Linked DNA regions of Drosophila melanogaster. The protein of the gene in region 2 interacts with the protein of the main gene of each other region in a pairwise test. Each region holds a gene or a part of one and is shown on either strand. Other genes may lie near its edges.

Region 1 (3,613 bases), 5.7 Mb from region 2:
ACCCGTACTGAAATCCAAAACAACTGGTTGACTGTGAGTTAAATTGTCAGTTTCATTACGTGGCAGCTTTCATAGCGTCTTTTGCTGTCTGCTTCCTGCCCCGGAACTCCGGAATGTTCCTTGCTTTTTTAAAGCCAAATCACTACGACTGCGCGTGAGCGTTCCCCGTCACTTCGCTTGCAGTGCGACAAGCGATTTTTCAAGTTGCCGCTTCATCGTTCTGCGGAGCTGCTTCTCCGTCTTTTTTGTTCGGTGCGGTTTCGGGGCTCTGCGTTCTGGGCGCCAACAAGTTCAATTTTCGGAAAAGGGCAGGAGCGCATCGAGAGCGGAGAAGCGAAGCCCCTGGGACTCCTCGAAACCGGCGAGTCGTGCGTTCTTGAGAACTTAAGGACCTCGACGCTGGTGAGTTCAACAAACATTTAACTGATTGCCTGGCGTGTCTTCGTGCCCAGCCCTGTCTGATTTTTTGATTTGCTATACACCTGGGAGCGGGACGGCCCTTGGCCACGAAAATGTTTAGCTTATTTGTTAGCGCTGCAAAATAAATTGTGTGTGCGTGCGGTAATTGTAAATTGCGTACGGGCAGACAGACAGTGGCGATTGTCAGTGGAGCAGCCGAGTTATTGGCACCTCTCCAACGTACGGGTATGCCATGAATTTTTGATCGAACAATGAGTGGATCGAGGGTTGCCACCTTTTGCCAATACGATGAGGTTGGCGAAGGCAGCAACAAACTAGGCTTTTGATTGCAAGTCCCCATCCCCATCCAATCCAATCTCGTTCCGTACGCCCCCAGCTAAGCCAATTCAATCAGGGGACCTGCCTGCAACCCTCTGAGTAATCCACTTTTGGCCTCCCGAAAGTGCGCAACAATTTCTTTTAAACTTCCTGCTGACACAAATCAGACCGAGGCCATAACTCAAACTATCTCCACCTCCGCTCGGCTGAATCAATAACCATAAACCGAAGCTCCTTATGCTCACGTGGAGGAGCCGCATAAAAAGTATGCCACATGCTCGGGGAAATCACTAAATTCAGCCTGAGGCAACGTGTACCTCATCATTTATGTGTGGCAGGGGCAAGAAACGGCGAGCCCGAAAACCAAGCAATGCCCACCTTCATAACTGAGAGTGCTTATCACGCCCACTTCCCCTTGATCCCCTCCTGCCGATACCGCCAACTACCGAGTACCGACTACCGTCTACATGTGACATTTGCATGCTTACTTAAACAGCAAAAAGCAGCATCTACGACAGCCACGTCGAGCTTGGCACGTCTGCGTCAACTATACTTTACATTTCGGCCAGACTGGTTTCGGTTTCGGTCTTGGTCTGAACCAGATGCTCAGTTGGAGTCTAGGACCCAGAAGGCCAAAAGAAGGAGAAGGCCCACTAGTGTTGTCAGTAGGCAGTCACAATCCTGTCGACGTCACATCAGCACACGTGTGTAGTAAAAATCAGACGTGTGGGCGCTGCTCGAGGAGCACACAGGCCTTGGCAATGTCGAGGCGCTCTAGTTGCCGCAGTCGATTCGAGTCGAGTCCTGCCTAGTCCTGCCTCCATGTACTTTGATTGCTTGCACGTTACCCGTACAATTTTCGGTATGATGGCGGCAACATTTCATGATTTCTTGTACGTGTTTCTGGCAGTAAGCACGCGTCCTTTCCTCTGCCGCGCACACCGTGTCCTGCGACCCTGGTCCTTCGCCCCACATCTATTCCGGCTCATGGGTTCCGGGGTAATGTATGCAAGCACTTTTTGTATATGACGCCGTTGCGCTTTGGGTCCTCGTCGTGTTTGTTTGCCTGGTGACTGATGATGGTTTGGCTGGTTTTGCTCAGCTCCCACTTTAGCTTCATTTTCCACCGCCACTTCTGTCGCTAGTTTTTCACCAGCAGCATCGATTCGAGCGTATGTCCTGCTAATAAATCAATGACGCCATTCCGGGGCTCCCAAGTAGGCGATGATTTATGTCTGGCTAAAGGGTTTTCACGAATACCGGGCCTAATTGAGTTGCCCTTGATGGATCAGTCATTTTTAGAGTGCTGCTTGTCCAGTACCAAGTAGAAGTCGCTTTAGAACAATCTAAAATTCGACGTTGCTGTTTTTTTTGGTTTAACATTCTCTATATACATTTTTTTAAAAATATGGATATAACGGTACCGCCGCCGGACTCGCACTGGTCGTTGAGGTTTGTGGACATCGTGAAGCCTTTTCCAAAACATACTTTGGCCAATGCCACTTATAAGATCATTCGCTTCTTTTACCCACCCTTTGCCCTGGAAACCGTCGATGTCACCCACGTGGTCAGCGATCCCGAGCTGAATAGTTTAAACGTGGGGCTGTTTGTGGTAGTTCCCTTAATTCTGGCCTGCATCGGCTATGGGGTGTACAAATATGTGCGGAGTATGGTAAGTTTTGTGCGTGGACCTATAGCCCCTGACCTCTGACCAAGTCTGACCTCGAGCAGCATACAGTGGCTAAACGGACACCATTAAAATTGTACGAGCTTGAACAGCGTATGAAAGACAAGTACGGTCCGGAATACAAGCAGGGAATCTGGAAGCGAAAGGACATTTCTGACCCCCTCCTATTAACCACTGATCCATCCGAACCAAAAGCAAAGAGATGTGAAAGCAGCAATGCCCACTGGCTGCGCAAAACCGATAGATCCGATGATTAATTAAATCAACACTCAGTTGGATCCCCACTCGGATATGACTGGGGATCTTAAAATCGAGAATCGAGGAAAGTACCTTCTCGAATCCAACCAGGCTTTGTACCCTTCTAAGCAACAAAATCGATATGATCCTTCAATTCCGTTTAATGATTGAGACCTTTTTTGCGACTGGAAAAGTGTCAGCTTTGGGCTTTCTCGTTTGGCGCAATAAAATGAAGTGATTGTTTGGTTTTTTATGTTGCAAAAACACACTGAACCCCGCAGAGCGAAGGGAAAGACATTGCACATAGGATTAGGTGGGGGTTTTGGGGCCAAGTCCTGGGTAATCATTTGGCAGCGCATGTGTCGGATTATTTTGTTGGTTTGCGTTTTATTTAAATTTGCTTCTTTCGGCTGCCTTTTTGCTCGTGCGGTGGTTGTTTGTCGCCCGAAAATCTGACAGCAGCTGAAAAGCATGCTAAGCTTCGTGCTTTCTTTTTGCTCTGGCTCAAAGCAAATTAATGATTTGCCATCAAGCAAATAAATCAAAAGCTTCAAAGCAGATCTCTGGCTTAGCGCGCTGCGCTGTGGTGCGGTGCGATGGGATCCTGGGGCTGGCTGCGATTTAAGTCCCTTTCATCTCGGCCTGCTCCACTTTAAAGCCAGTCCCGAATGCATAGTTTTATTTCGCAGCTATTTCCACTCAACTAAGCGCATGCATTGATGATATATCCCCTTCCGTGTGACACCCCTTCCCATTGACATGACATAAATAACCGTGTGAGGCTGTTATAATTTATAATCCTTGCTCTGGACCCCCAGCAACAATAATACCAACAACAACAACAACAACAACAACAACAACAACAGCAACAACAACAACAACAACAGCAGCAGCAGCAACAAGAACAAACACAGCAACAGGAGCAGGAGTAACAAGAGCAGAAATAATATG
Region 2 (3,450 bases):
CTTCTCCTCCAGGTGCTTCACCAGGCAACTCTTGCAAACTGTAATTGCAACAAACACTGACGTTATTGGGCAGGTAGTGTTCCATGCCGGACCAACTCACATGTGTGCAGACACTCCGTCACCGTGGTGGCATCGATGAAGTAGCCGCCGCAGATCTTGCACGTTATGTGCGGATTGATCGTCTTCAGCTTCACGCGCCGCTCCATGCTGGCCCCCCGATTGTGTGCTGAACTACGTTACTATATCCTATTTATCCCTATTTTGCAGCGGACCGATGGCTTGCCTTGCCTTTTCGATTTCCCACTCCCGCGCGGAAAACGCTCAAAACGGCGGATGCGCTCGCTTCCGATTAGTGGGAATGCTCGCGCACGCTTGTACAGGCACTCGGCATTGTGGCCAGCGGATTTTGGTCGCGATTTGTTTCCTTCTTGGTTGTAATTTGAAACAAATAAAATAGAAATCACGACTAAATAAATTGTGTGTACGTGTGAGCTAGCGATGGGCGATAGTTGCGTACCTGCTACTAGTCGCGATTATTTCACCGTGACAAGTCACCGCTTTGGCGGCATGTCACGACTCCATATTTTTCAAGTACAAAATTGACGTAGCACAGCAAATTTTAAACAATATGAATCAAGCATACCAATTGCATACTACTTTTATGAAATCCTGCAGCATACTTCCAAAATATTTATAAATAGCGCTCATTGTAACCCAGTGATTTCTTCACACCTTGTGTCACAGCCATCGTAGCCCAATGCATGCATGTGTGGGTGAATCGTGTCACCATATCGATACCGTGACTTTGTCCACCGCGCCGGGCCGGTCCCAACTATCGTATGTGCGTGGGTGGCCGGAGTCTGGCAACGCCCTTTGCTAATTTCAGGGTGGTCACACAATGCAAGGTGGTATATATGGAAATTAACAATTTTTTAAAATATATTGTGAAAACTAGTTTACATATTTTAAAGAGGTAATAAAACATTTGTTTTTAGAAGCATAACAAAATAGCTTATATAAGAAACCGTAATTTCGTCATTAAATATAATCTGTTACCTTTCGGTTTAGAAATTTTGAAATAATTTAAAAATAAGCCAATTCAAATTATTTTCATGTAATTTTTCAAAAACCGAAGGAATTCAACAAATCTGAACGCAAATATACGTTTATATGTATGGTGTCTATGTGCATAGTGGGGGGATTTATTTGTGTTCAGTTTGATTGTGTCGACAATTTTGAAGTTTTGTTTTCGGTTCCCTAATTTAATATGTACTTGGCGTATTGCGGCTCATACTTGTCGATGTAGTGCTGGACAAACCGACACCTTATAATAATGAAGTGCCCATTCAACAGTGCGTAGTCCAGTGCCGACTTGGCCAGTAGCTTCCCAATGCCATGTCCGCCCAGTTCCTCCGGGACGTTGGTGCTGTTGATGGTCATCACACCGTCCCTGATGGAGTATACCAATACAGCCCGGAGCTCGCCAATGTCGGTGTAGAACCGACCTCTCTTATGCCGGACAACAATGTGCGTACCAAAACATCTTTCCTGCGAATTTAGGTTTGGAACCTTTAAAATTTGACCAGTTAGGGTGTGGTTACTTGTGGGGATGGTGTAATCTCTCGAGCACAAGGAATACGTTCTTCGGCCACCTTGCAGAATCAGAATTGGAAGCAATTTGGAAAGCATTTCTTAATTTTTGTGAGTAGTTTCAGGAATTCGGGCCGAATAATCATACTTCACATCATAGTGACGATTTTCGAGTGACCAGCTTAAATTATTTAGTAAATAGTTCACACTAGCAACGCACCTGCGAGGTGAATTGATAAAGGATTGGGGATTAATCGCGGTGCATTTTTCCAGCTTATCTACAGCTACATAAGTATAATATCTAAATCAGTTCAAACATTGAAGATTATTTCCGAATCCCTTCTTACTGGCAATGTGACCGTACTCGCGCTTACTTATTTTGCTACCAGCCATCAGCTGTTGCTCGGCTATTGTTTTTGTTTTTGTTACTTGGATTGCTGGAGGCGTAGTTTTCTGCTTTTGATAATTACTCATAGCAAAAGCAGAGAAATGGCGCTGGTGGATCACGATTCCTGGGACATCGAGTACGAGGGCTGCGAGCGACTGCGGCATCAGCTGCTGGTATACCTCAACCAGCGGCAGCAGCTCAATCCGAGGACGAGCCAGTTCGTCCAACTGACAAGCAGCATTCAGACGGGAATAGAGCAGCTGGCCAAGGACATGAAGCACCTCAAGGTGGTGCTGGACAACGCCATCACCTGGGAGACGAGCCCGGAGGAGGAGCTGCAACAGCGGCGCATCGACTGGGATAGACTTACTTCGCAGCTGCGCGAGATCCGCGAGAAGTTCGCAAACAGTAGCCGCTCCAATGTCCCGGCCGCATCCGGTTCTGCTTGGCAGGATCAGGATCTCGGCCCAGGTCACAGCAATTCCTCGCGGAATACCGCCTTGGATGTGGAGGCTCTGAAGCAGAAAAAGACCGAGATGCTGGCGCAGCAGAACGAAGGACTCGAGGTTCTATCAGCCACATTGTCCAGACAGCGCCAACTGGCCACACAGCTGGGCAACGAGGTGGAGGACCAGAACAGTGGGTATTCCCCAGTCCCTGCACTACCAATGCTAATCCCTACCTCCTTGTAGATATCCTTGACAACTTGGCCAATGCCATGGACCGTGTGGAAACGGGTGTGCAGCGGGAAACACAGAGCATTGGACAGGTTAACCGGCGGGACAGTACCTGGGGCTACTGGCTCGTCATCATAGCCTTGTTCGTCGCCATCATTGTCGTGGTCTTCGTCTAGCTCCCACGATCCATTCCAGTTGTTATACTACTTTATACTATGACCTGCGTGGAATGTCTATCTGTTAACCCAAAGTTTGATTATTTATGTATACACCAATTAAAGTAGGATTTATAAGTATTTACGTTCGCGGATCGATCCCCTTGATCAGGTTTATTTAGTCGTTACATTACGGTTAACAGATGTACAGGTGTTTATATACTTAAGCCAAATCGGAGGCGTAGGGCACGTTCGCCAGGTGCCCGATGGCGCCGACGGCCAGCTTGGAGCTGCCCACCTTCTTGGCCGCCTCCTGGACCTGCGACTGCGAGATGCCATCGATTGCGCCAAGCAGGGCGTCCGCCTCCAGCACGTTCCGGGTGAGCGCCGCCTGGCGACCGATCTCCTTAATTAGACCACCGTCCGACGAGTAGCGCGAGATGATGCGCGCCTTCAGAAGAGCCTTGCCTCTGGCCACATCCTTATCAGACACCGAAGCCGACTTCAGGCCGCGCACCAGGAACTCCACGGTCTTGCCAATGTCCTTGGAGTCGGCGGAGACCACAAAACCGAACAGACCAGCGTCCGAGTAGCTGGCATTCACAGCCTTGACAGAGGCTCCGACGCCGCCGGCGCAGTT
Region 3 (3,833 bases), on a different chromosome or scaffold from region 2:
CACTACATACAGTTGCTATCAAATTATGGCTGAAGTAATTAAGATATATGTAAATATACTGCATATTCATTTATATAAAAACATAATGCCTCATTTCTTTTTAATCGCTTACCATTTGGTTATATTTGGTATATATCCAATCTAAGAATTTTATAATTAGAAACGGAGGTATTATTATTATTTATGATCCCTAAAAAAACAACCCACCCCAGTAGCTACTTCCACCACTGGGGTTCATATATCACATCCTTTAACAAATGAAGATGTACATTTTATTACAAACAATTAGTTAATTATAAGAAGAACATTTTTCTACCACTGCTTTGTAAAGCTCTTACTAATTCCGTAATACCCCCTTTTAAGGGTATAAAAAGCTGGTCGTTAGGAAATGCAAGCGAAAGCTTGAAAAGCTTTCAGTGGCGCCATAAATACATCTTAAGAGCTGCGTTTGTTTTTGGAACCTTTGCTGAATGAATTTTCAAAAATAAATTTATAAAATATGATTCGTTAAGGAGAACCTAGAATAAGCACTTTCGCAAAAGAGTTGAAAAGAAATAGAAAATCAGAAAAATGCCCAAAAGTATGCACCCATTAGAAGAGCATCCGTAAAGTATGCAGTATCTTTTGAAAGTATCTTGCAGGCAATCGCAAACCCTTGTAACGGTAGTAACAGAAGTCCTATACTCCCATAAAATTCGTTTATGAATTCATAAACACAGTAAGCTCATTTCAGCTATCTATTTACAGTCTACTCACAGAACAAACGGTTATCATTTGTTTTTACAACCCGAGCAATACTCGTCCGCTCAATAAATTGCTTTCCGATAAGTGATATCGAAGCGGGCCTCCAATATAGTGGATAAAAAAAGAACCGCCCCCATTGCAGAGCACTAAAACAACCCCATCATATTGCACGCGAATGAAACTAATCAAATAAAAAGCCGATCTTTGCGTCAATGTGGAATTGCTATGGGGGATTTATAAGGCTTTTTTGTATAAATCCATACATGTACATACACGAGTGATAAACTCCAACTAGCATACACTGTGCGAAACAATGGCAAGCAATTGCGGCAGCAATTAAATGGGTTGCCCAAAAAAAAAAAAAAACCTCAAAGAGATCACTTCAATTTGTGATGACCCTCTACGTAATAGTTCACCGAAAACCTGTCGAATCAAAACAAAAGTCGAAAAAACACGAGGGCAAGTGGAAAATTTATGTACTCGACCAAGCGGATACCACGCAGACATTTTTAATGGATGTCCAAAGTAGCATGATCCCTTCGCAACGTAACCATCAGTTTTCACTGTCAGTTATTGACAGGAAAGTATTTGTAATGAAAAAGCAGAAATAGTCGAACATTTTTTGTATCTCAAGCCGTTTTGTGGGTAATCTTTTTGTGTGGAGTATTTAAGGCTTACTCATCCTCCAATGCTCCAATGCTAGTTCATTATCAATTTCAATTCGGTCGGGTAAAATTCCACTTGTGTAGTTCGGCTATATGGCTAAGGAAGTCGTTGATCAGACCCTCGGCACTATCTAGATTGACGCGCATCGCATTCGTTTGGGGTATATACCCACCTGGTGATTGGGTATCGTGTCTAATGGCACTTACGGTTTTTGCTGCCTCGATTTTATGGCATGCCTTTTTTTTTTGCGCGATATTTGATTTTGATGGGCGCTTTGGCTTTTGCTCTTCGGTTTTGTTAAGCGGCGACATCGACATCGACATCGTTTACTCTCCGCCAGTCAGCTATAGCCGTAGTATAGCTATAGTCAGTCAGTCAGTCAGTCGATTCATGAAAATTACCATTGCAAACGGGCAATTCAATTAGTTGCTACGCCGCGTCAAGTGCTTTACAAGTGGAGAGAAAAGGCGAATAAAGTAGCGACCAAACAATTGGAGTTGAAGTGAGGAATCGAGGAGGGAAATGCCAGTGCAACAGCCGCAGTCCGCGGAAATCGGTCATCAAATGAAGATGAGCAGCGAAGAGCCACCGAGTGGCAAACAAACGTGCAGAAGGTGCGACATCATTTGCTATTTATTACAAAACTATTTCGTATACCCATTTCTGACACACTTTCGGTGCCACGTTGAGTATGCGTCACGTGCGCATAAGCGTTGCCAGCCCCCCCCCCCTCTCTTACCAGGCAGCAAAAACAGAAAGCCAACATTTATTTTTGGCTGCGGCATCGAGAACCGCACTGCAAATACAAGAAAACACAAATGCCGCCGCATTTGTTTATTTATTTTGCATTTTCGCAGGCCGTTTAACCAATTTTCGGTGACTCCCGACGCGGCTAGACAGAAACGAAGTGTCCATAAATCAAGCTAGTCTGGCCTGGACCAGTAAATAATATAATAATAATAATATTAATAATAATAATATGGTATATGAGTATATAAAGTCCAAAGTGGATCGAACACTGTGTCACATGCGCGTGAGTTTACGATGGCTGCTCGATAAGCAACTCTCGAAAACATCAATCGCTTCTATTCGCGTCTTTGATTCGTTGCGGTTTCATTGAATTTATTTATTAATCTAGCGAGCTAAATTGCTTCTACCTCGATCGCTGGCACACATAGTTTCTATGTCTATGTTCATAATTTATTATCGAACTTCAAATGTGTTCCGCCGCTAATGCTAATGCTTTGGGTGCAAGTCGGCGAGTGATTTGAGTGTCAAGGCCACAAGGAAATCCGAATCCGTCATCGCGATAAAGCTTTCGATAAGTGACGTACCGCTGGTCGTGGATGATAAGCAATGCTATCTGAAGTGAGTGCCATGAAAATCCAGCCAGGAATCTTACGGGTAAGTTTTCCAATCACCGCAACCTTGAAGGTAAGTGTAAACAGTGCCATTAATCCCCGCTTCCCTCTTGATACGCTCTTATCAAAAAGGGCGCGCCACTTAAATTTTATGGATGTTTTTCAATTGACAATCACTCGCTTGCCACGGATTTTGTCATCTGTTGATTTATTTTATAGCACGCTTTTAATTATTTAATTTGGTCTATCTCTTGCTCTTCCTATCAGTTTTGATTTGTTTTATCAGTTGGGGAGCGCCACTTGAGACCAATTGAAGTGTTTTTTTTTTTTAGGTTTCACTACCAACCTCAGCATCTGAGGTGTTCTGATAATTGGCGGAAATATTAGGCAAACAGGTATGACTGTCATATTTATTCGAACTTATAATTGCACAGTTTGCATGACTTCCATGTGTCCAAATATGGGAACTTTGGGTTTTTAATTGTTTACTCGGGACTGCGTGACTATTGTGTCCGTAAGTATGGGTTTTATATTAGACTTTATTTGTTTAACTAATGTAAATAGCAAAGTTGTTTTAGAAGTGATGCACCTGTCATGGATTTAATGAGATAATCAAAGTTTAAATTGATAGATTCAGCCTCTAATCTTGTGAAATATCAAATATTTCGTTGGCGTTATTGAAAGAACTCGGTGAATCATGATGAGCGTGTTTTTTATTGATATCAACAAAAACCCGTTCCCAAACTCCACTGTCCACTGCTTTACACTGCTTGCCGGCTGCGAGCTGTTTGCGCTGCTTGAAATAAAGCGCATATCAAAGTGAACTTAGTTGCTTGATAACGCTATCAAAAGCTCACATCACCGGCGTAAGAACGCAGCGTCGACTGAGCAGCTGGCAGTTGGCGTTTTTCAGCAAGCTTCGCACTGCTTGCTTGTGCTGGAAAGCAGCAGCAGCATATAGCTAGAGCAATCATACGCCATGGTGTCCAGCTGCGACGCCGACTGCGCAGCCCACTCGCAGTCGATCGCGCGTATTTAGCTGGAGGCCTTTTCCACACTCAA

The links.
Region 1: the proteins of Syx8 (region 2) and CG32450 interact in a two-hybrid assay, tested with the Drosophila melanogaster proteins (one large-scale study listed by BioGRID).
Region 3: the proteins of Syx8 (region 2) and Eglp2 interact in a two-hybrid assay, tested with the Drosophila melanogaster proteins (one large-scale study listed by BioGRID).

The regions. Positions count from the first base shown.
Region 1 is NT_037436.4:22,327,748-22,331,360, forward strand, and holds CG32450 (uncharacterized protein), read left to right. Parts: upstream 1-2,030; 5' UTR 2,031-2,146; coding exon 2,147-2,410; intron 2,411-2,469; coding exon 2,470-2,682; 3' UTR 2,683-2,910; downstream 2,911-3,613.
Region 2 is NT_037436.4:16,585,608-16,589,057, reverse strand, and holds Syx8 (syntaxin 8), read left to right. Parts: upstream 1-2,000; 5' UTR 2,001-2,079; coding exon 2,080-2,617; intron 2,618-2,670; coding exon 2,671-2,831; 3' UTR 2,832-2,950; downstream 2,951-3,450. Other genes in the region: l(3)73Ah (lethal (3) 73Ah), read right to left, coding at 1-38, 101-206; CG32163 (uncharacterized protein), read right to left, coding at 1,258-1,689; UQCR-C2 (Ubiquinol-cytochrome c reductase core protein 2), read right to left, coding at 3,034-3,450.
Region 3 is NT_033778.4:23,614,702-23,618,534, reverse strand, and holds the start of Eglp2 (entomoglyceroporin 2), read left to right. Parts: upstream 1-1,780; 5' UTR 1,781-1,932; coding exon 1,933-2,024; intron 2,025-3,824; exon of another isoform or gene 3,825-3,833.